Drosophila melanogaster: one gene and its partners. The protein of the gene in region 2 interacts with the protein of the main gene of each other region in a pairwise test. Each region holds a gene or a part of one and is shown on either strand. Other genes may lie near its edges. The genes, in order: Pmi, mRpS26, e(r) and CG17739.

Region 1 (6,943 bases), about 12 Mb from region 2:
GTTTTCCAATTGCACATTCTTCCCCAAACGGCGCGGCGAGATCGCCTAAAACTACGCGACTGCAAGTTGTCAAGGGTTAAGATTGATTCTCAAAGATGTGCTTGGGAATGCTTACCAGCATGCTGAAGTTCATCAGCGACTTGCGCTTCTTTTGCAGGTACTGCAGCTTGGGATGTGAGAGTAGCTGCTCGGCCGTCGGCCTCTGCGCAGGATCGGGCTTCATCATGGACTTAATTACCGACTGCAGCTCCAGTGATATTTCTGTGCGAAGAGAAAGGCTTTAGCAACCTGCCATTTAAGTAGGCAGCTAGTTCGCAACTCACTGTTTATGAACTCCTCGGGCAGAATGCCGTGCCTCAGTTCGTGCCACAGTGGGCCGTTGGAAGGAAGATCCATGTAGCATGCCAGCTCTAGCATGGCAATGCCCAGACTGAAGATGTCCGCAGCCTTGGAGAAGTGACCCTGCAGGATCTCTGGAGCCATATACCTCGAATCTCCCTCCGTGGCGTGATGGCTGTTGGCCCTGTCCACATCGATGACCAGTCCAAAGTCTGCCAGCTTGCACGTCTCGTCGTCCTCGCCGATCAGAACGTTGTCCAGTTTAATGTCCAGATGGATGAGATTCCGGTCGTGCAGCGACTTGAGACCCCGCAGCAGATCCAGCAGGATGTGCCAGATGCGCTCCTCCGGTATCCTTTGGCAGCGCAGCAAGTACTGCTCCAGACTTTCGCGGCACAGCTCCATTTGCATGTACAGTCGGTCGTACTGCTCCCAGGCGCGGATGAACCGGATGCAGTTCTCATGGCCGGAGAACTCCTCGTAGCGCCGCACCTCTTCCAGCCGCTCTGCGCGGTACTGTTCGCCGCGGAACAGTTGCTTGGAGATCTTGACGGCATATAACTGGCCGTCGGAGCGATCGCGCACCTGGAATACCTCGCCGAAGGATCCTTCGCCCAGTTTGGCCAGCCTTTCGAAGCACTGCTCGAAGTGTGACAGGGAGAGGGTGCTCAGCTCGGCCTGGACTGGTGACGAGGGCAGCGTACTGGAATCCGAACATCCGGCGTCCCGGAAGGAGATCGCGTGCGCGATCTGGGAACTGTTGGTGCTACAGGAGCCCAGCGATTGGCTTCGGTTCAGATTGTTGTTGTCCACGGCGACGTAGCCACGCGTCTTGTACTTGGGCGGCCGGAAGCGATTGCTGTTCTCCCCATTGCACTGTTTGTGTCTGTGTTTGTCGTCGTGCAATTCCGGGAGGGGCAGGCGATGATGCTTTTCCATTTTCAATTTTGGGTGTCTTTTCTTATGAGTGGGCGAGTGTGACCATATCGGACAGCCGGCGAAATCCTGGCTTCTTCGCTTGGGACAATAAGAGCCGGCTAATTCATTTAACACATGTATCTTATATTTTTGATCTTTATTGGGAGTATAATTATTGATTTCAATTAAGTTAAGCTCCTATAATCGTATACAGATTTTACATGATTTGCCTCTTAAATGCCTCAATTATCGTAAATAGAGATGGGAGAGTTGAGTAGTTGGAAGAACAATAGAAATACTGAAATATTTTTAAAAACTTTAATCTAATCTAATTGTCTTTATGAATATAGGTAAATAAGCAAATAAATTGCTAAATAGTGGAATTAAGCCTTTATATATAGGCCGCTCTTTAAAGGAGAATGGTATTTGCGAATACGATATAATTCAAAAGTGCCGCCCAACTGCGGTATTTTTTTGGAAGATTGCTATTTGCAGTATTATGCCCTTAGGTACCTGGTATATTTTAACGGTCCAGCTGCGGCCGCACTGAGTTTATGAACAACATAGAAAACAACAAATTTATTAGCAAAATGGTTAGCAGAAATATAGAAAGGTAAATACGGCGCCTAGTTACGTGAATGCAGTGGGATTACGCAACACATTCCACCTGGGTGCAGCCAAATCCCAGTTCCCAAGTGCACCTGCCCTGGTTATGCAATTTACTAGGCGGCTTCTTCATTTATCTCGTCTGCACAATGGCTTCTCTGCTTCGGTTGTTCTGAGCGCTTGATCTTGACCTTAACCTTGAGTTCCACATCAAGATAACCATGATTGATTCGTGTATTGTTGTTCTAATTGTGCAGCACGAGTAAGGTGCCCACTTTCCATGTCATCCGCGAGGTCTACGACAGCTCCAATGCCCATGAAAGATTCGAGGCTGAGCTGGACAAGGCGCTGGAAGCCAAGTTGGACTTCATCGTTATAGAGCCGCCTCGGCTGGGCGACGAAACTGGTAAGCACTTGGAAGTGCTTCCTTTTAAAGCACAGTATTAATTTCATATCTCCACAGGTCGTTGGATTTGGGTGGGCAATTGCCTGCACAAGACGGCGGTGGCCACTGGAGTGGTTTCCCTGGTGGCCAGCTTGCTGTGGCGGGATCGCCCCATCATTGCAGCTCCCGCTTGTGCACTCTCGATTTTTTGCACAGGACTGTACACGGTTTCCTGGAACTACGATCCATGTTGTCAATATCAGGTATGAAAGGAAAAGTTCTAGATATCCAAGATTGAGAAGCTCACTTTGGTTGTGTTTTTCAGGTGGAAAATAATGACACCGTGTTGGAGAAACTGCCACTGACAGATGTCTCCTCGCCTGTGATTTTGGGCTACTCGCCCAACTCAAAAACCAAATACTTGCACCGTAGCGTATCCTTGCTCTCGGCTGCCCTGTGCGCCTGGCAGATTTGGAGGTCCTACAAGTAAGGGATTTGCAGGAGCTCTGAAATGTCCAGGTGCTGGATTAGGCCTGTCCCCTGTCTCGCGGACGCGTAATACCTAATAAGTTAAGTTTAGGCACATAGGCGAATGCATTTCTTTTAGATTTTCGAACGATTTTAACACAATGTATTGTCTTTCGTGAAACTTTTAAATGTTCCCATAAACCAGTGTCCATGTCCAGTGTTCCCGTGGCTGCCACTTGCACTGGCTAGCATGCTCATAACTTATTACGGTCCCCAAGCCCAAGTTAGTCTTAAGGGAGGAGCAGCCTCTGCACTGTAAATTAAGCAAAGCCAACCTCTGTGTATAAAGCGAAACCCATTTATGATTGTTATTAGAGTCTAGTTGAAGATATCAGCAAACGAAAGTCAAGTAAACGCGATGCGAATGTTACTCCCGGCTTTAAAGTTACTCCATAGCTAAGAGAGTCTAAGAGTGAGTGCGATAAGAGACCCCTTCGAAATTCGTAGCTGATGATTTAATGGAAATGTTGTGCTTCATGCGGGCTGGTTCTCTCCCTTGTTCTCGTCTCAGTCGTTTTGTGCATTCTGCTGGCAGTGGTTGACAGCGGCGACTCCGATCGATCGAGTGGTGTGTTCCAGTGCGATCCGGTAAGGAGCTGACCCACTCACAGCACCACCTTGATGCCGAGGCTGCAGCCAGAGCGGTCTAGCCATGGACTCCAGCCACATAGCCGTGCGAGTGGGTAAGTCCGACGATAGATAAGCCCTTGTCTTGATAAGATATAGTTAAATGGGTGAGATATACGAATGCGTGCATCTCGGCTGGATATCCCAGCTCAGTTAGTGGCAAGATGCCGATCTTTGTGAGCGCCTACAGTCTGCGTGCCATCAGCAAATACTATGCCCACCAAGATCAGAGTGGCCTGGACAAACTGTGCCACTTGACTAATCATCTGGTCGCCTTTATCTTGGCTAAACTCCATAATTTGTTGTTTGCTCTATATTTCGCTACGATAGCACGTCGTAGTCCCTCGCCGGCCGCCGTCTCTCAGTCGTCGTACGGCAGCCTGGGTTCCAGCCAAGATATACACATTCGAGTGGACAAGGAAGGCGTTGCAAGCGAATCCACTCCCTTGCTGGCAGCTGCTCAGCGGTCCATCAAGACGTCCTCATCCCTCACAGCCTCAGTCTCAGCCTCCTCCACGACGCCTTCGAATTGCCGAAGGAACCCGACGCTCCACGAAGACTGCTTCAATTGGCGCTCGGTGGGACTGCTGGTCATGTGTGCATCCGCCTTGGCACTGGCCGCCTATTTGCTCTGGAGACAAAGTGAGTTTGCCCGCTGATGGTGGACGTGCACGAGTACGTGCTCAAATCGTTATTGTTACATATATGCATAATAAATAAATCTCAATTAGCTGTGAGTTATGATAAGCTGCTCATGTGCGTTTTGATGGGCAGGCGAAAGTATTCAAAGAAAAATCGATCTATACTCATAATATAATGTATCTGGCATTAAATTTGTATAGTAAAACATTTTAAAGCCATCCCTCATTTTTTTTTTTTGTTTAACTTAAGATTCGTTTTATTTTTCGTATGCATGCATATGACTCATTGTTAAATTTTTCTAAATTCGCCTTTATAGGTGGACAAAGCCACTTAATGACTGAATCACTTTGCACTGCTTGCAGCCCAAACGCCGGACTTTGGCTATCGACTCAGTATCGTGGGTCATGGCATATGGTCGGATATGGAACTTCAGGGTCGGGGAACTCTTTTCGATCCGATCGGTGTCGGCACAGTGATTTTTACCCACACTGGAAGCAATGAATGCCACGATGATTGCCCGGATGTATTGCATAAGCTGGAAGTGAGTTAATCGGACATAAGTATGTGTAGTACATTGTAATCAAAGCTAAATTCATTCATCTCCTTAGAGGTCGCATGTGGGGGAGCTGCCCTACAACTTTCTGGTCGCCGGTGATTGTCAGGTTTTCGAGGCACAAGGATGGCACTATCGGAGCCAGTATCCAAGGGATCTAAATGGAATAGACTCGTTGGTGATGGCCTTTGTGGGTAACTTCAGCGGCAGACCACCCATCGATTGCCAGTTGATGGCCGCCCAGGCTCTGATCCTTGAGTCTTTAAAGCGTCGGATTCTGCAGCCAATTTACCAACTCTTCGTGTTGGGCAGCTATACGGACGCACTGCAGCGGGAACTGAGGCACTGGCCGCACTACGCGAGCCACCAAACGTCCAAGTGAAGCAACAAAGAGATGATTCCAAATTATTCCTCTCGTTTATTGTACGCCAAACACAAACACAGTATACAAAGAAGCGCAGGATGAGTAAAGCGGTTGCCACCGATAAGCGAATCAGGGATCCCCAGGATCGGGCGCTGGCCAGGATCGGGGGACCGGCGAAGCGTTGCGCATTGGGTTAATTGATTGGATGTTGCCTAAGACTAAGGACTATAAACTTAAACTACAACTGGCGATCGGTTAGTCGAACTCCAGTTTCCGAAAGCTACCCTCGATGGACTCGATTTGTGAAACGAAGTTGGGTCCGCCGGTGGAGGCCTTTCCGGCATTGAAGCTGCTGCGCCGCTGGATGCCGCGATCGGAGCGCAGTATGCTCTTGTCCAGACCGAGAATCAGGTCGCGCTTGGTCGCCAGCTCCTGCTTCCACAGCTCGATCATCTCGCGCATGGGCACCTTGCCACCCATTTCCAGCGGCAGACAGCCCTGGTCCACGCTCTTCATCAGCTCCTTCTCGCTGCCGTAGATGATCAGGCGGTTCTTCATCTTGGAACTGACGCGGTTCTTCACGAAATCAATAAGCCACTTGAGTGTGGATGGTACATTGATCAGGTGGATCTCCTTGTGACGCATGGGCAGCGATTGCTCACCCCACTTGAAGATGCGGGCAAACTCCGTGGGATTCCAGTTGGTCACATGCGCCGTGGTCACGCCGGCGAAGTCGCCCACATGCGTTAGCCCAGTGATCTGTGTTTCCTGATCCTCCATCAAGCACTCGTAGGTGAGGAAGTGCGCCTTGGCCTGGTCGCAGCTTGTGTGGATCTTCGGATTTAGCCCCTTGGCATTGATGACCACCACGCGGCGACCGTGCTTGTCACGCTGTGGCACCGCAAATATGTATCCCTGATCGATGAGGTCGCCGAGACGCGGCTCCAGATAGTCCAGCTGGGTGCTCATGTGCGGGAACGTCCTCCTGATGTTCAGGTACTTGAGCAGCGTCTGCTCGGCCATCGGCACACTGAACTTCTTGGCGCGCAGGAAGCGCAGCAGGAAGGTATCGTCGCATCGCACATTCTGCAGATCCTCGTTCTTGGCCACCCAGTTGCGCAGCTGCTCCAGCGACTGCTCCCGCGTGCATCGATCCTCGCGCAGCTCCCGCTTGGCGATCTTCAGCAGCGCCTCTGGCAGGCCTGTCGTCTCCCCCTGATCCTGCACCATATTCTGCTTTCCTTCTTCGCTGGAAGATCTGCGATTCGTTGGTTCTGCTCTGTGGTCACGCGATTGGCATGGACTGCGGTCACTACAAAGAATGATAAGAAGTCCACGGATTAGTCGGGTTTTTTCTCAAATCCACATTGTATGATTAATATTTATACTATATATATGTATATGTTCTTAAAGAGATTGAATTTACTTACTTACATACTTGTAAAATATATAATTAAATTAAATAAGAACAACTTTTCATCTTGACTTACATAGAAAGCTTCAATATACTGAATCTACAACCAAGTTAGGCTCCAACTTCTTTATAAAAAGTGACGAATATCAAGTTTGAAGCCTTTGCTTTAATCAAAACAAAAAAACTCACTAGGCAAACGACGAAACTTATTGTTTAATAATTCTGCATATATGTATTTATCAATGAGATTTATTAGTGGTCTTCCCATTGAAATTGGTTCAAGGTCCCAGTGATCTCAAGGCGAACGCCACCGGATCACGGATCGTTGTAATTTGCAAATATTTGCTAATTAAAACTCGCGTATGAGACGCGTTTTTGTTAAAACAGAGCTGCGAAAGCGACGAAATAAAAAAAAAAACTTATAATTTATTCACTTCTTTGTTGTTAGGGGAACCATAAAGCGACCACCAAATGCCATTATGGTCGCATATAAAACATGTATGGATGGCAAAAAGACTGAAAAAGAAACCAGGCGAATTGGTTCAAGTTCAAAACTGTTTACTGAAA
Region 2 (3,152 bases):
AATTTTTAATGAGCGTTGTTGATAAGCCAAACGAGGTTATGTTGGTGGGAAAATAAGTTGTGTAGCGGGAATTTACTGGCTTAAATAAGTTAAGCTCACAATTTGATAGGTAATTTCAAACTATCACAGAAGCTAACCTAAATAGTTGGGAATATTAAGTATTTATATTGAAATAAAGGGAATTAGATTAGTACATTGTCGTTATCATCCAACAACTTTGCATTCTTTCTGTATTAATCTTGTTTAAATCACGTTTTTAGATATAAAATCTTATCTTAAATGCTGGAGAATGTGAAAGTAAACAGATTGAAAAAGTTGCATAAGATAAACATTCCAACGATTAGAGAGCAGTAAACTTTTAATCGTACAGTTAAGGTACACTAATTAAATTATAAGAAAAGAAGATGTGGCATTTTAAGGCACTAAGTTTTAAAAAGGAAAGTCTACATTACCCATTTTAGTTATTTAATTAAAAGAGAACAATAGAACCCCTGTTTCGTGCAGTTCAAGCAATTGAACAAATTCGATATGCAAAATTGATCGCCTTATAAGAATTTCCAGCTACGAAGCGATCCAATTCGATTCGATTCGATTCTGTGCGTGGTAAGCGGTTGGGATACATGAGACACACATATGAGACAATATTTACAGTCCAACCAGTGCGAATTGCCATTCCAATCAGAGGTAAACAAAAATCAAAAGCCAATGTGAAAAAAAATGCCAACAAACCTGTACGAGTTGTTCGCTGCCGCTGCGCTGCTGAAGCTCTGCTCCCGCCGACGTCTGCGTCGAGAACTTCGGCTTTAAAGCTCTCAGATGGAGTTTTTGTTGTTGTTCTTGCTGCTGCTGCCTTTTTGCATGTGCAAATCGAAAGAGAGCGAGAGAGAGAGGGAGCTATGGAGCTGTGGAGCCCACCAATACTCGGGCTTTTTGGACAGGTAAGCGAAACACGTCGCAAAGAGCAGATGAATAAGAAGAAGACGCAGTAATGAATGATCGTCGCTTTAACTTTTCGCTTGCATCGGTATGCGTGTGTGCATTTCTGGGAGTTAACTTTTAACACTTTTAGCCTTGGCAAGAGATATATACAATATGCACTTTCCACACTGCTTCTAACTGACTTAGCTTTTCAATAACGCACACTATTTTTTTAAACACGAACACACACACACTTTCAAGGCGCGCCGGCTGCGCAAGCCACTTTTGTTTTAAGTTAGCCCACGTACAAGAGGCGAAACAGCGAAGTTCCGTAGCTCGGATTTTAATGCGGCCAGCGCGGCGATATATCGTCGACTGAGTGAGCAGTTACTTTTCGTACCTTCCCGTCAAGTTCACCTGGCCAAAAGCTTTTAAGCCCGAGCTGAGCGCAGCGCAATTGTGAGAAACGCACTAGTGCGTTGGAAGTTTGGCTATTTTCACAACAGATCTGTCTGGACTTCAAAGCTTGTATCTTTGGACAAATAAAAAACATTCATAACCTGCGCAATTTAATTGCAAAAACTTGTTAGCAACGCAAAATTAAGCTGTACCTAAAAATATATCTATGTAGCTGAGTATATAATTATATTTTAATATGAATATGTACGACAATAAATTTAGTAAGTTGACAACCAAATTACTATTGCCTTTCTATCTGAATTTGATTTGTTAAGATTGATTTATTCCTTGATTCTTCGATTTTCCATATTGGTCATCACTGACGGAACCAGCAATCGAACTGCGCGGAACCAGTTCACCGACAACAGAGTTGCACAACAGTTCAGCAGCGGCAAAGTAAAAATTACATTTTGTTAATTAAACTGCTTTTATAATGCTGCGAGCGGGATGCCAGCTGCTGACGCAGTCCACCCTGCCCACCGGGAAGACGGTCGGAAATAGTTTCGCCCTCGAGTTCGTCCGCTGGCGCAGGAAACCGCGATGGCTGCCGGTGGCCAAGAGCAAGATGTTCCGCGTGCCTGAACGCAAGAAGCAGTCGGAGGAGGAGCGCACGGAGCTCATGAGGCTACACAACCAGTACAAGTGCGTGCACCAGCGCCAGATTCTGTCTCTGGTCAAAGATAATTTGTAATCGGTTTCAAAAGACGTTATACAAAACAATCTACGCCTTGATTTCAGAACGCAGCTTCGCTCAGTGCGTCAGTTTCTAAGGGAGGAAGTCGTCCGCCACGAGGAAACATCCACAGCAGATCACATCGTGCTCACTCCCGAGCAGGAGGAGGCCGAGTTCCAGAAATGCCTGGATGCCAATGCTGCCTGGAACGCTGCCATAGCCAAGGAGCGTGATCAGCGATTGGCCAAGAAGCGTGAGGAAAAGGTGGCCTATATTCAGGAGCGATTGGAGGCACAACAGCTGCGCGAGGAGGAGCGCAAGGAGCAGGCCAACCAGCGGGTGCTGCTCGAGATTGAGCGTTCCAAGAACTATATCACTAGGGAAAACTTGGATGCAGCCATTGAGACAGCGTTGGCCAATCCCGTGGACCACAATTTCGCCATCGATATGGCCGGTAATCTTTACCACGGACGAAGCACCTCTCAGCTCCCGGACGCCACTCCCGAACCCAACCAGCAAGTTTTGAGTAATTAATTAATGCAGTGTCTTAGTTTGTTGTTACATTAAAATGCTTTTTATAGGTTTCTAACCAAAGTTGAAAGTCCGTGTTTTTTTTTATTTTTCTGCACAATAAACAACACACTTAAGTATATTTGATTTGCGCAAAAGAATAGGAATTGGATAACCTAGCTATTGTAAAGCGATTTGCTAGAACTAGAATACTTTTCAAATTTTAAGACCGTATTTGAAATTATAATAATCACTTAATTTGAACATATAATATATCAACAATCCATTAACCTAAAAATTAATCTTGGGTCATTGCATTAAGTATTGATGGCTTAATTTACGTTACATATCCCCAAGTTCCAAGCCCATCTTTCTTGGAGTCTCTTTTATGTTCCATATTCGAGTACAATTGTTAATAACCTTTTGAAAAGCATTTGTATTATAAAAATTTCTATATTTAACTTTTATATACGGCATTTAGAATAGGAATAACTTAAGCTTAGGCGCAGCCTATTTACTATATTACATATCTACCATGGGGAAGTGGGTGCTACGTGCCCGGTACTGGATTCGTTCGCTTGGATGCCGCATC
Region 3 (4,650 bases), on a different chromosome or scaffold from region 2:
CCGGCGTTGCCTCCTCATCGACGTTGGCAGAGGCAGCGACCTCTGACGTCACGGGGCGGTAAATCAAAGGCTTCACGTTGCGTTCGAAATCGTCGAGGAAAACGACATCGTGGACGGGAATAATGCGGTGATCGGTGACGTTGAAGTGGAGATCGCGAAAGGGGCCGTTGAAGAGGCAGCGCAACGGTGACGTCACCAGCACAGCATCTTCCGGAGGTAACTGTAAAAAATGTACAATATTTGTTGTATTTTAACGTATATCAAACATTTACTGATATAGTTTTATATTAAATCAAATACACCGCAACAAATCTCGTGCAAACATCAGATAAGATATTGATACGATACGATAATTAGTATAATATTTAAACAATGCGCAGTCAGGAGAAATATAGAATGGCTTATCAATTTTAAAATAAAACTAACGGAAACAGTAATATTGTACATATTTCAGTTTCAACTCAAAGCATAAGTTTCTCTGTAGCCAAGACACCATTTGGTAAGTTAAGAAAACTATTAAGTGGACGTTTTTTTTTTTACCTTGATTTTGCCATTGGTCGCCGAGAACATTGAGATTTCGAGATTTCAGCGATAAGAGATGAGCAACAACACAAATCAAATAGAATGCACAAGAAACACAGATACAACACCCACACATGAATGATCGTGCAACGGTGTGCGCAGAACAGTGAAGAGGAAGCAGAGAGACGAAGCAGAGGCGACAAATTGGACACGCGTGCGTCGCGTTGGTTGGATTTTGTGTTTTCTTATTTGACTATTGCCTTTTCGGTGCTACTTTAACGGGTTTCCCCGTTTCACAGCCTTTATCATCTTATTTTCGCAGGGCTTTTTTGCTTTTCAATTTACTGCCTGGGTTTCATTTAACTTCGCTGCTCTTCTACTTCATTCATTATTTGATTTGTTTACGTTGCTATTTCCCAATTTGTTTGCTTCTTTTCACTTCATTTTCTTTCAATTAGGACGCACACAAACACACAGGAAAAAACAAAAAAAAAAAAAGAGAGACACGAACGCCACTTGCACAATTGAAAATAACAACAAATTAATGGGAACGCGCGAAACACGGGCTGCTGCGGCTGCGCCTTCACTTTTCACTAAAACAAAAAGCACGTAAATAATGTTGAGACGAGATTTTGCTTTTTGTTGTTGATTTCTTTGCCGATCGCTCTGCCGCCGCTCGACTGCGCTGCCCGCGACACCGCGCTCTTCCAATTGGTCCAATTGAGATCAAACAGCTGGTGGGCACTCGGATCTTCGATTGCCGCTGTCTGGCAGCACTGGGAACAGTGAGAACAGTGGCCAGACTGCGGAGCTGGCGATGGGCGATAGTTTTGTTTCATTAAAAGTAACTTTTGACTTTATATTAAATACAATACTAAAAAATGTAAAAATATGCTTTTTAATATGCACTTTAAGTGAAAATGATTGTACATTAAGTTTACTTCATAAAGACTTTAATGACCATAATTTGTTGATGGGCGTTAATTTTATTCTAACTTAAATAAACGTAATACCTAATATTTATATGTAATAACAAAATAAAATGAACCTAAATAAATAATGCAATCCACTTTAATTTGACATTATAATTATAATTTTTTTATAAATATATAAAATAAAAATAATAAATAAATAATTTCCGTAGTTATTGTAATGTATTACTATGATGAGTATATGTTAAAAGCTTTAGTTAATTTTATTTAAAAAATCTGAAGACTAAATATGGAATGAATTACGCCAAATGAAATGAAAATATGCATTGAAAAACATGCTTTATACCTAAAGGCGTAATATACATAAAGTGTGCTTTTCAATAAAAAAGTGAATGAACATAATATGGAATCAAATACATATACAAATTGAAATGCAAGTATACATTGATACAATTAAGTATAAAAAATCACAATTGTCATTTAATTTGGTAAATATTATTAAACAATGTATATCAAATAAAAGATGTTAGTATTAATCGATATCTTTCGATTATTTTGTCACGGCGAGGCACGCAGCGAAGCGCTCATCTCTAGCTTCAGCCTCCTCTTCAAAACCCATAGAACTGGCAAAATAAAAAAAAACGAATCAAGCGCTGATTTTACCGAATCTCTTTACTGAATCAGCATATTATCATAGTCCATATAGTCCGGCGTTCGAACGGGTAAGTTGAACACTAAACGGGAGACATGGGAATTATTTAAAATTCGAGAAAAATCGGTGAAAAGGAAGAAAAACAAGTGATTGCATACAGTTAGTTACACACACGCGGCGGCCGTTACTCCTTGTACATGTGTGTGCGTGTCTGTTCGCGCTTCCGAATGTTTGTGTTTTAGTGAAGCGGCATAAGCGTGCATTATCTTGTACAAATGTACGCATTTCTCCATTGCCAACATTCGCTTCACACACAAATTACTCGTTTTCCATGCTGGAAGTGCCATCTTAGTCTATTTCCCAGTTGCAAATTGGAAAATCAAAGAGCGTTCTGCTGGCCAGCATGTGTGGTGCGCGTGTATTGGTGTTGCGGCGAGAGCGCGAGCGAGATGGGGCGATGCGTTGCATGCGGCAACAGCATATCTCTTCCATCTCTTTCGTTTTTGTTCTTTTCCTTTTTTTTTTGTCTTTTTTTTTTTTGCTGACAGCTCTCTATGCTTCTAATAAATATTTATGCACAATTTTTGCAGAGCTGGCGAAGTAAACTTCAACTTCGAGAGTCTCGGAATCTTTCGGACTTTGCTATAGAAAAAACGCTTGTTAAAAAAAAGGATGTAAGTGATGAAGATGAAACGTAATGTAATGAAACGCACACTAGTAACATACATACATACATATCGCTTGAGTACATAGATCACCGCCAATAACATTAATGTTCCATTTTTGCCTTGCAGATCACCATGTCGCACACCATCCTATTGGTACAGCCGGGTGCTCGTCCGGAGACCCGCACTTACTGTGACTACGAGAGCGTCAACGAGTGCATGGAGGGCGTGTGCAAGATCTACGAGGAGCACCTGAAGCGCCGCAATCCAAACACTCCGACCATTACGTATGACATTAGCCAGCTATTCGATTTCATCGACACAATGGTGGACATTAGCTGCATGGTTTACCAGAAGAGCACCAATACCTATGCGCCCTACAATAAGGATTGGATCAAGGAGAAGATCTATGTGCTGCTCCGTCAGGCGGCATTTAGTTCCAATACCTAAAGGGACGGCGATGCGACAAGATACATACATATAAAACCAAATAACACGATGATGCATGCATCAATGCGTGCAACACTAACGACAACAACACGTTGATGTATGCAACAATGCGTGCAATAGCAACTACAACAACAACAACAATACGAGGATACATGCAACAGCGCTTGGAACAGCATCCGCAACGGCCACAACACCATAACACCAATAACACCAACAAGATGAGGAAGAAGAAGAAGATGATGATGGAGTGGTGGGGCATCGATTCCATTGGAGACTTGCTGCTACCGACTAGATCGCCAAATGACAGCAACTTTTTTTTGCAACATAACGCAATGCAAAAAAGGAAAAGGAACACAAAGAGAACGATAAACTGTATAACTTAGAAATGGAAAACTTACTTTAAACGTACTAATATATATATATATATATAAATATATATATAGGCGTATATATATATATATACTGTATATACACCCAACTGACAACTGTGTGTGTTTTTGTGTGTTTCAATGTTTTTTTGTGCGGCAGCCACAGGTGACGGTTGTTCTTATCGATAGCGAACTGTATGTTTGTTTGTTTGTAAAACCGAATGGCAAATTTGCAAGTGTGCATTTTTTTTTTGTATGTTTTGCCGTGTGTGCTAGCTTAAGTCTTTGCAATCTATCGAATAATAAACTAACACATCAGGACACACTGAGCATATATAAACATATTTGTAAACTACTGATTCCCCCCCCCCCCCTTTATCATTTGAACTTAGTTAAACAACAACTTTTAGCCCGCTGATTTTGCACACCGATGGGCTTTGTGGCGTTTTAACGGCTTGTTTTAAGCAAAACAGAACCTTTGGTCGCAGATGCGAAATGACCTTGAGATGCTGGTTGTTGTGTGTGTGGTGAGGGGGGAGGGGTAGGGGTTTGTGGGTTGTACCCCCGCCAGATATTCAATCGGATAACGAACTTGGACCGCCGCTGAATCGCTTGGCCGCACTGCATTGAACTTGGCGTGCGATATTTAATTAGCTCCGCGACAGCATTTTGTTAAATATATATATATATATATATATATATGTATATATGCACATTTAGTGTCGACTTGTGGATGCTGCTTACTAGCGTTAACTAGCAATAAACATAGTGTTTATAGTTTACCCATTATATTTGCTGAATATTAATGATCACTAGATTTCTCATTATTCAGACAAATATATTTGTTTGTGAAAAAAGCATTTGCTACAGCAAACTGTACAGTTTATTACAAAAATATGTATATATATTTTCAAAAAAAAAAAAAAAAGAATTTCTCCTATTTAAAGTAGTTTGCTTGCCACGCAACTCCGCGCTTTTTACAGGGTATGCAATAGCGCTACAGCTGCGTCGAATATGGTGCATAGTTTTTTTTTTTAGAATATTTTTCAAAACTGGTTTTA
Region 4 (5,947 bases), on a different chromosome or scaffold from region 2:
TTTTGAGTTTCCTCACGCTTTTCACTAGCCTCGAGATCATTTTTAGCCCTCTGAATTCTTGGTATATGGTCGTAGATTAACAAAACCCCCTGATCTACAATCGCACGACACCTGGTTTTCAAGTCATTCATACTTTCGGCGGCTAGAAAATAAAAGTATGCAATTGTAAGCGAAAGAAGGATAATTCAAGGATAACAATTCATTCAATCGAAGACGTAAAATCAAAACGAACTTACGAATACTCTTGGGCAATCGAAGTAGATCATCATGGTGGACCACAAGCTTGCATTCATCGTTTACAGTCAGACCCACAAACTTGAAGACCCCTTGATTCCGGAGCTCCGAACCCATTAACCGGATCTTGTGCATAAACTCGGACTGCAGGTTCTCCAGTTTTTTTTTCTGCGTATCAAAGACCCGCATCCGGTTCATCTCCAGGACACGGCGATGCGACATCTTTTCAGGCTTCTTTACATTTTGATAAGGTTCTGTGGACGGCAATAATCAGAGAATTGGACCACGTTTCAAATATTCGCGATACCCACCGCATGTCGTTGACTTAACCAATTGTGCTGACTGGGCATGCGTCTTTATGGGAACCACGTTCCGCTTGGGGGGATTCAACTCATCGATATCAGTTTTCCGATCGGGCTCAACTACTTTATGCTCGGGCTCGACCCGTCGATTGGGCAACGAATACGTACTGACACACGGGCGCGCTTTCGTCGAAGAAGTAACCCGTTCCAGAGAAGTTTTTCGCGAATGGATAGACGACCGACTCGCTCCACGCCTATTTGGAATGTGACTGAGCCTACCTTTGTTTGGGCTTCCGTCGCCATTCTGGGTGGGAGGAGTAGAGAAGACGCCACCACAAGAAGAAGTGCGAGACTGGGACGGGGATGTAAAGCATTTGAAAAAACTAAACCCTTTTCTTCTATCTCACTCACCCATGTAGCTTTGTCTGAGGCTTGCTTTTCCGCCTTTCCAGCTGTCCTCAGCAAGAATGCTTTGTTACCTAACAAGGATAACGAGCATTTGAAGCACACATTCGTATAGCGTTCAAGGTACATGTACTTACTACGAACTGAACGCGGCGTCACGCTGGAAGAATTCATATCTAAAGTTTCGGAAATCAACGCTTTTTTGTAAACGATTTTTGTGTTCAAAATGAGGAAAAAATAGTATAGAAAATTTGTTTCTAAATATTTCCAGTTGAACTACGTCTAGTGTAAATGGTACAAAAATGCTTTCTGACCAATCCAAACGAGGTGGTTCGTGGAAGTAACATGAATTCAAACTCAGAGCACACTTGTTCAGTTCCAATGTACCCGGTGTTTTTGGGGTCTGTTTGTTTAGAATGAGCGTATGAAAACTAATGGTTTCTATCAACAAATGCGAATCTGCAAAAGAAGCGGAAACTAAGCTAAATGGGAGGGAAAAGTAGAGAGCAGTTTTTCCCTCTCTGAGGTTCTCCATGTAATCCATTCGTCGGTCCCGAATGATGCACATCGTCCATCCAATAATCGACTCGGCGAAATTTGCATTCAGTTGCTGTTCGTGCGTCCACCGAGTAAGTTCTTAGTTCGGATTTCCCTCTAAAAGCATATATTTCGAGATTGTTTCATTTACGATCCATCAATACTGAGTAACAAGAGTATGAAAAAACAATCTGTACCACCTTGCTATTAGTTTATTTTCTCAAAATAACTTAATCAACTGGATTAACATACATGATGTGCTAGTGAAAGTGGGTGCTACAATATAAGTGCAGTACTGAGGTGAAGAAGCCCTAAAAGTGACTTTAATGATTTAGATCCATGGGAAATGGACGTTTGTCACCCCCTTGTATTCGAATTCGCTGTAGACAGTCGGCGCGTTTTTCAATTGAATTTAATCAGTGACGTAGACGGTCTATATAGTACAGACTATATATTGTATATACGCAATGCGATCCGATTTTCAAGGGGTAAACAACCAACAACCCGCCTAGTTCAAGTTCCGCATGGCAATTGAGCTGGCATAATTTGGATCTCAAAGGAAATGGAAAGTGTCTGCGAAAATAGCAATATGCACTATGTGTGACATCACGCAAAGTCATTCAATTGAAGGCTATTTCTACGAATTCAAGTTCAGTTTGAAACTGGAAGTAGGCTCCATTGGTTGCCATTGACATTCGATACCAATGCGGATAATTAAGACAATTAAGTGCTGGCCAGAAATAGTTTTTTCCCCCACAACCACGTGGCTGCATCAAATGATTGTAAATTTGTATTCCCACTCAATTTTGCATTGCAGCTCTTTGAAATGAAAGCTCTGGAAGGTTTCACTATTCTTCTCGCATTAGTGGGTGTTATTCCCCGGATCGAGGGCTGCATTAGGGTCCCACCGGGAGTCACAGCAGCCAAGTCACCGGTGGATGATAACTATGTGCTGTCCGTAAACGGAAATACGCAGAGTTATGTGCCCGGTCAAAGGTATAATGGTGAGTGCATTAAATTAAGCATTAAATTAAATTAAATTTACAAATTTCTAGATTTTTCTTTCAATTCTCTAATCTTTCGCTGCTCGTTTTCAGTTAGCCTCAGTGCATTTTCTGGCTTGTCCTTCATTAGCTTTATGCTGGCCCTGGATTTGGAGAGTGGTGACGGCGATGGTGACGCCAATGCCCTGGGCACCTGGGAGATCGCCGATCTCGCCGAGACCCGTTTCAGTCCGCGCTGCCCAAATCTTGTCGAGAATACCAACACGAACGTGAAGACACGCGTGGATGTGTTCTGGGTGGCTCCATCGAGTCCGGGACAGGGCTGCATCCTGCTGAGGGCTACGGTGATGCAGCATCGAGATGTGTGGTTCATGGATGATGGCTTCCTTACCAAGCGTATGTGCGAGGAGGAGGTGGACGACATTGACACCCAGCCCAGCATCGTGGATCCGTGCTGTGCCTGTGACGAGGCCAAATATGAGGTGGGACTCTTTTAACTCATTATTGAAATGGTATTAACACCTCCTTACTTCAGCTTACCTTCGAAGGCAAGTGGTCGCGTCACACACATCCCAAGGACTTTCCAGCGAATAGCTGGCGCACCAGATTCAGCGATATCATTGGTGCCTCGCACACACTGGACTACAGATTCTGGCAGTATGGAGAGCTGGCCAGCGAGGGGCTGCGTGAGGTGGCGGAGCATGGCTCCACAAGGACCTTGGAGAGTGAGCTGAAGGATCAGAGCGAACACATTCGCACGATCATCAAGGCAAGGGGCATTGCCTATCCGAATGTTACGGGCAAAACATTTGCCGTTTTTCGCGTCGACTCCAACCACCATTTGATCTCCCTCGTATCAATGGTGGATCCCTCTCCAGACTGGATCGTTGGTGTATCCGGCCTCGAGCTATGTCTGCCCAACTGTTCCTGGGTGGAGAACAAGGTGCACAACCTATATCCCTGGGATGCGGGCACCGATAGTGGTCCATCATATATGGTAAGACGATTTCCATGATTTAGTCTTCAGTAGAGTCAATCACGAATACTTTTCAGTCCGCTGACCAGCCACAGGTGCCTCCAGATGTTGTGCGCCGCATCAAATCAAATTTCCCCAACGATCCCCGTTCGCCCTTTTATGATCCCACTGGTGCCCAGATGAAGCCATTGGCCACCCTGCACATCAATCGAAGACGACTCTACGAAAAGAACTGCGAGTCCTCCGATTGTAAGTTAAATGCAACCATATATTGATGTTGTGAATATACATACTATATACTTTAATCCTGTAGCGGAACAGGTACCGCCGGAGTGCGCCACAAACTCGTGGTCCAGATGGGATGAATGCACCACAAAGTGCGGTCCCGGCAAGCAATACAGAATCCGAGAGTTCAAGAACCCTGCATTGGCTTCGGTAATTAAGACGACATATATAATTTGGATCCCATACTATATATACATTTTGACACCTACCTTAGCGTCATCGTTGCAACAATGCCCTGCGTGAGGAGAAGAACTGCGTGGGACACAAGTGCGCTGGCTTCAATGAGGAGACAGCTGAAGGCGGCGAGCCGGAGGTGGCGCCATCACCAGGTAGCAGCGACGATCCCCAGTGCGGTCTGTCTGACTGGTCGGAGTGGTCTTCGTGCACCGTGACTTGTGGAACCGGCGAAATGACCCGATCCCGACACTATCTAAACAAGAAGGCCAAGAAGAAGTGCCAGAAGGCAAGCAGGGCGCGTCTGCATGAGACCAAGATTTGCGAGGCAATGGAATGCGGTGGGGACATCGAGAACGAAGGTGGTGCTGGGGAACCGGAGGAGGAACAGGCCGGTGGCGACGGAGGTGGATCCGCTGAGAAACGCTCCATATTCCGCAACTTCGAGAGTTACAGTCAGCATCGGGAGGATTACATACCACCGGTTTGCGGGGTCACTCCATGGTCGGATTTCTCGCCGTGCATGGGGCCATGCGGTGGACATGGAAAGCGGCAACGTATTCGCAAGGTGTGGAATAACAACCAGGTGTACGGAGTAACGGATCCCAATGATGACGGCCAGGATCCCTGTCGACACATCAAGCTGCACGAGGAGGTGAACTGCACCAATCCTAGCTGCGATACCATTGTTCCCGGCTTCTGCTACGACGAGCTGACCGACAGTCCGTGTCGGGATAACGATGTGGCCAACTTCTGGTACTACGACCATGTGAGTGACCAGTGTGCCATCTATTGGTCGGATCGTTGTGATACAAATCGCAACAAATTCAAGTCGAAGGAGGAGTGCGAGGAGACATGTCGCCTGCCGCGCCACAAACAGGAACTGCAGCACGATGGCATTCCAGCCATTGATTGTCTCGTCTCTGACTGGGTTTCCCACAGTTGCAACGCCTCCTGCGGCGATGGCTTCCAATTGCGAACGCGTCGGGTGCTCCGTACTCCGAAGTATGGAGGCAAGCCATGTCCCAAGCACCTGGTACGTTTGGATCGCTGCTACCAGCGGTGCGATGACATGTACTCAATCAGTGGACGGGGATTTGGAGAGCGAAGGCATGTGGTAAGAGCTCCGCAACCGGAACCGCAGGACGAGTGTCGCTACTCGGAGTGGTCCGCCTGGACACCATGCACCGCCACGTGTGGCGATAATGCCGTTCGCCAACGAACCCGAACCCTAATGAACACCGATCTGAGCTACAAGTGCAAGGATCGCGTCCGCATGGAAAAGTGCGTGATGATGCCTTGCCAGCTGACCAGCAACGATGATCCAGAGCGGTGGTGAACATACCATTAACTGCTACAAGTATTAGTTCTAATCCAACTATGTAATCATTACCAATGGATATCGTTAAATATATGAAAAATTCCAGACTACCTACACTAGCTCTTCTCGCAACAGATTAAATATGTATTAAAAACAATAAAACAGAATTGTGTTCGCGTGGTAATTCCAATTCCGATTGAGTTTAACCTTGACCCAGTTCCATTAAGCAAACAGTGGCCAGTTTACGAGTGATTTTTCGCCGGGTTGCAAGTTCAAAGAACCCGGGCACAATTCATCAATTGAAAAGCTTGCCATAAAAACAAACCATTCCTAATTGAAGACAACTCAATCAAGATGCCATAAGCTGTCAACGCCGAGAGCGCCATTTAAGGGATAATTGATAAATTGGAAATGCTCATCAATTAATGGAGATGGCTAGCCATCAGTTTTGGTCAGTCGCCGTTGAGCCTCGACCCAGTACGGATCGCTAAGATTGAGAAGAGATGCTTCGCCATATCGTGCTCCTCATTCTGCTGTCTTCCGAAGTCAGAGGAGTCTGCAATCGGATACCCCAAGGTGCCAGTGGCCCTCGATCGCCTGTGGATGATAACTTTAAGATCCTTATCGATGGCAATCCAGAGACCTATGTGCCAGAACATCAGTACAATGGTGAGAGTCTCGAGTTGTCCTGAAGCTTTTACTTCAACAT

The links.
Region 1: the proteins of mRpS26 (region 2) and Pmi interact in a two-hybrid assay, tested with the Drosophila melanogaster proteins (one large-scale study listed by BioGRID).
Region 3: the proteins of mRpS26 (region 2) and e(r) interact in a two-hybrid assay, tested with the Drosophila melanogaster proteins (one large-scale study listed by BioGRID).
Region 4: the proteins of mRpS26 (region 2) and CG17739 interact in a two-hybrid assay, tested with the Drosophila melanogaster proteins (one large-scale study listed by BioGRID).

Annotation. Positions count from the first base shown.
Region 1 is NT_037436.4:5,778,264-5,785,206, forward strand, and holds Pmi (Pmi), read left to right. Parts: upstream 1-1,787; 5' UTR 1,788-1,847; coding exon 1,848-1,870; exon of another isoform or gene 1,871-2,120; coding exon 2,121-2,269; intron 2,270-2,324; exon of another isoform or gene 2,325-2,326; coding exon 2,327-2,511; exon of another isoform or gene 2,512-2,573; coding exon 2,574-2,734; coding exon of another isoform or gene 2,735-2,738; exon of another isoform or gene 2,739-3,287; coding exon 3,288-3,318; 3' UTR 3,319-3,428; coding exon of another isoform or gene 3,429-3,459; exon of another isoform or gene 3,460-3,567; coding exon of another isoform or gene 3,568-4,045; intron 4,046-4,361; exon of another isoform or gene 4,362-4,407; coding exon of another isoform or gene 4,408-4,586; intron 4,587-4,653; coding exon of another isoform or gene 4,654-4,980; 3' UTR 4,981-5,217; coding exon of another isoform or gene 5,218-6,192; 3' UTR 6,193-6,422; downstream 6,423-6,943. Other genes in the region: Myt1, read right to left, coding at 1-59, 116-261, 324-1,278; PGRP-LD (peptidoglycan recognition protein LD), read left to right, coding at 3,568-4,045, 4,408-4,586, 4,654-4,980; Cralbp (cellular retinaldehyde binding protein), read right to left, coding at 5,218-6,192. UniProt on the Drosophila melanogaster protein: Plays a role in mitochondrial morphogenesis.
Region 2 is NT_037436.4:18,104,852-18,108,003, forward strand, and holds mRpS26 (mitochondrial ribosomal protein S26), read left to right. Parts: upstream 1-1,727; 5' UTR 1,728-1,810; coding exon 1,811-2,019; intron 2,020-2,115; coding exon 2,116-2,584; 3' UTR 2,585-2,648; downstream 2,649-3,152. Other genes in the region: Polr3D (RNA polymerase III subunit D), read right to left, coding at 3,111-3,152.
Region 3 is NC_004354.4:8,903,635-8,908,284, reverse strand, and holds e(r) (enhancer of rudimentary), read left to right. Parts: upstream 1-2,036; 5' UTR 2,037-2,176; intron 2,177-2,294; exon of another isoform or gene 2,295-2,516; intron 2,517-2,696; exon of another isoform or gene 2,697-2,780; intron 2,781-2,900; 5' UTR 2,901-2,906; coding exon 2,907-3,221; 3' UTR 3,222-4,141; downstream 4,142-4,650.
Region 4 is NT_033778.4:12,304,984-12,310,930, forward strand, and holds CG17739 (uncharacterized protein), read left to right. Parts: upstream 1-1,544; 5' UTR 1,545-1,570; intron 1,571-2,295; 5' UTR 2,296-2,304; coding exon 2,305-2,482; intron 2,483-2,575; coding exon 2,576-2,964; intron 2,965-3,017; coding exon 3,018-3,479; intron 3,480-3,535; coding exon 3,536-3,707; intron 3,708-3,771; coding exon 3,772-3,893; intron 3,894-3,957; coding exon 3,958-5,256; 3' UTR 5,257-5,429; downstream 5,430-5,947. Other genes in the region: salto, read right to left, coding at 1-142, 237-488, 546-888, 948-1,015, 1,079-1,115; CG30203 (uncharacterized protein), read left to right, coding at 5,742-5,907.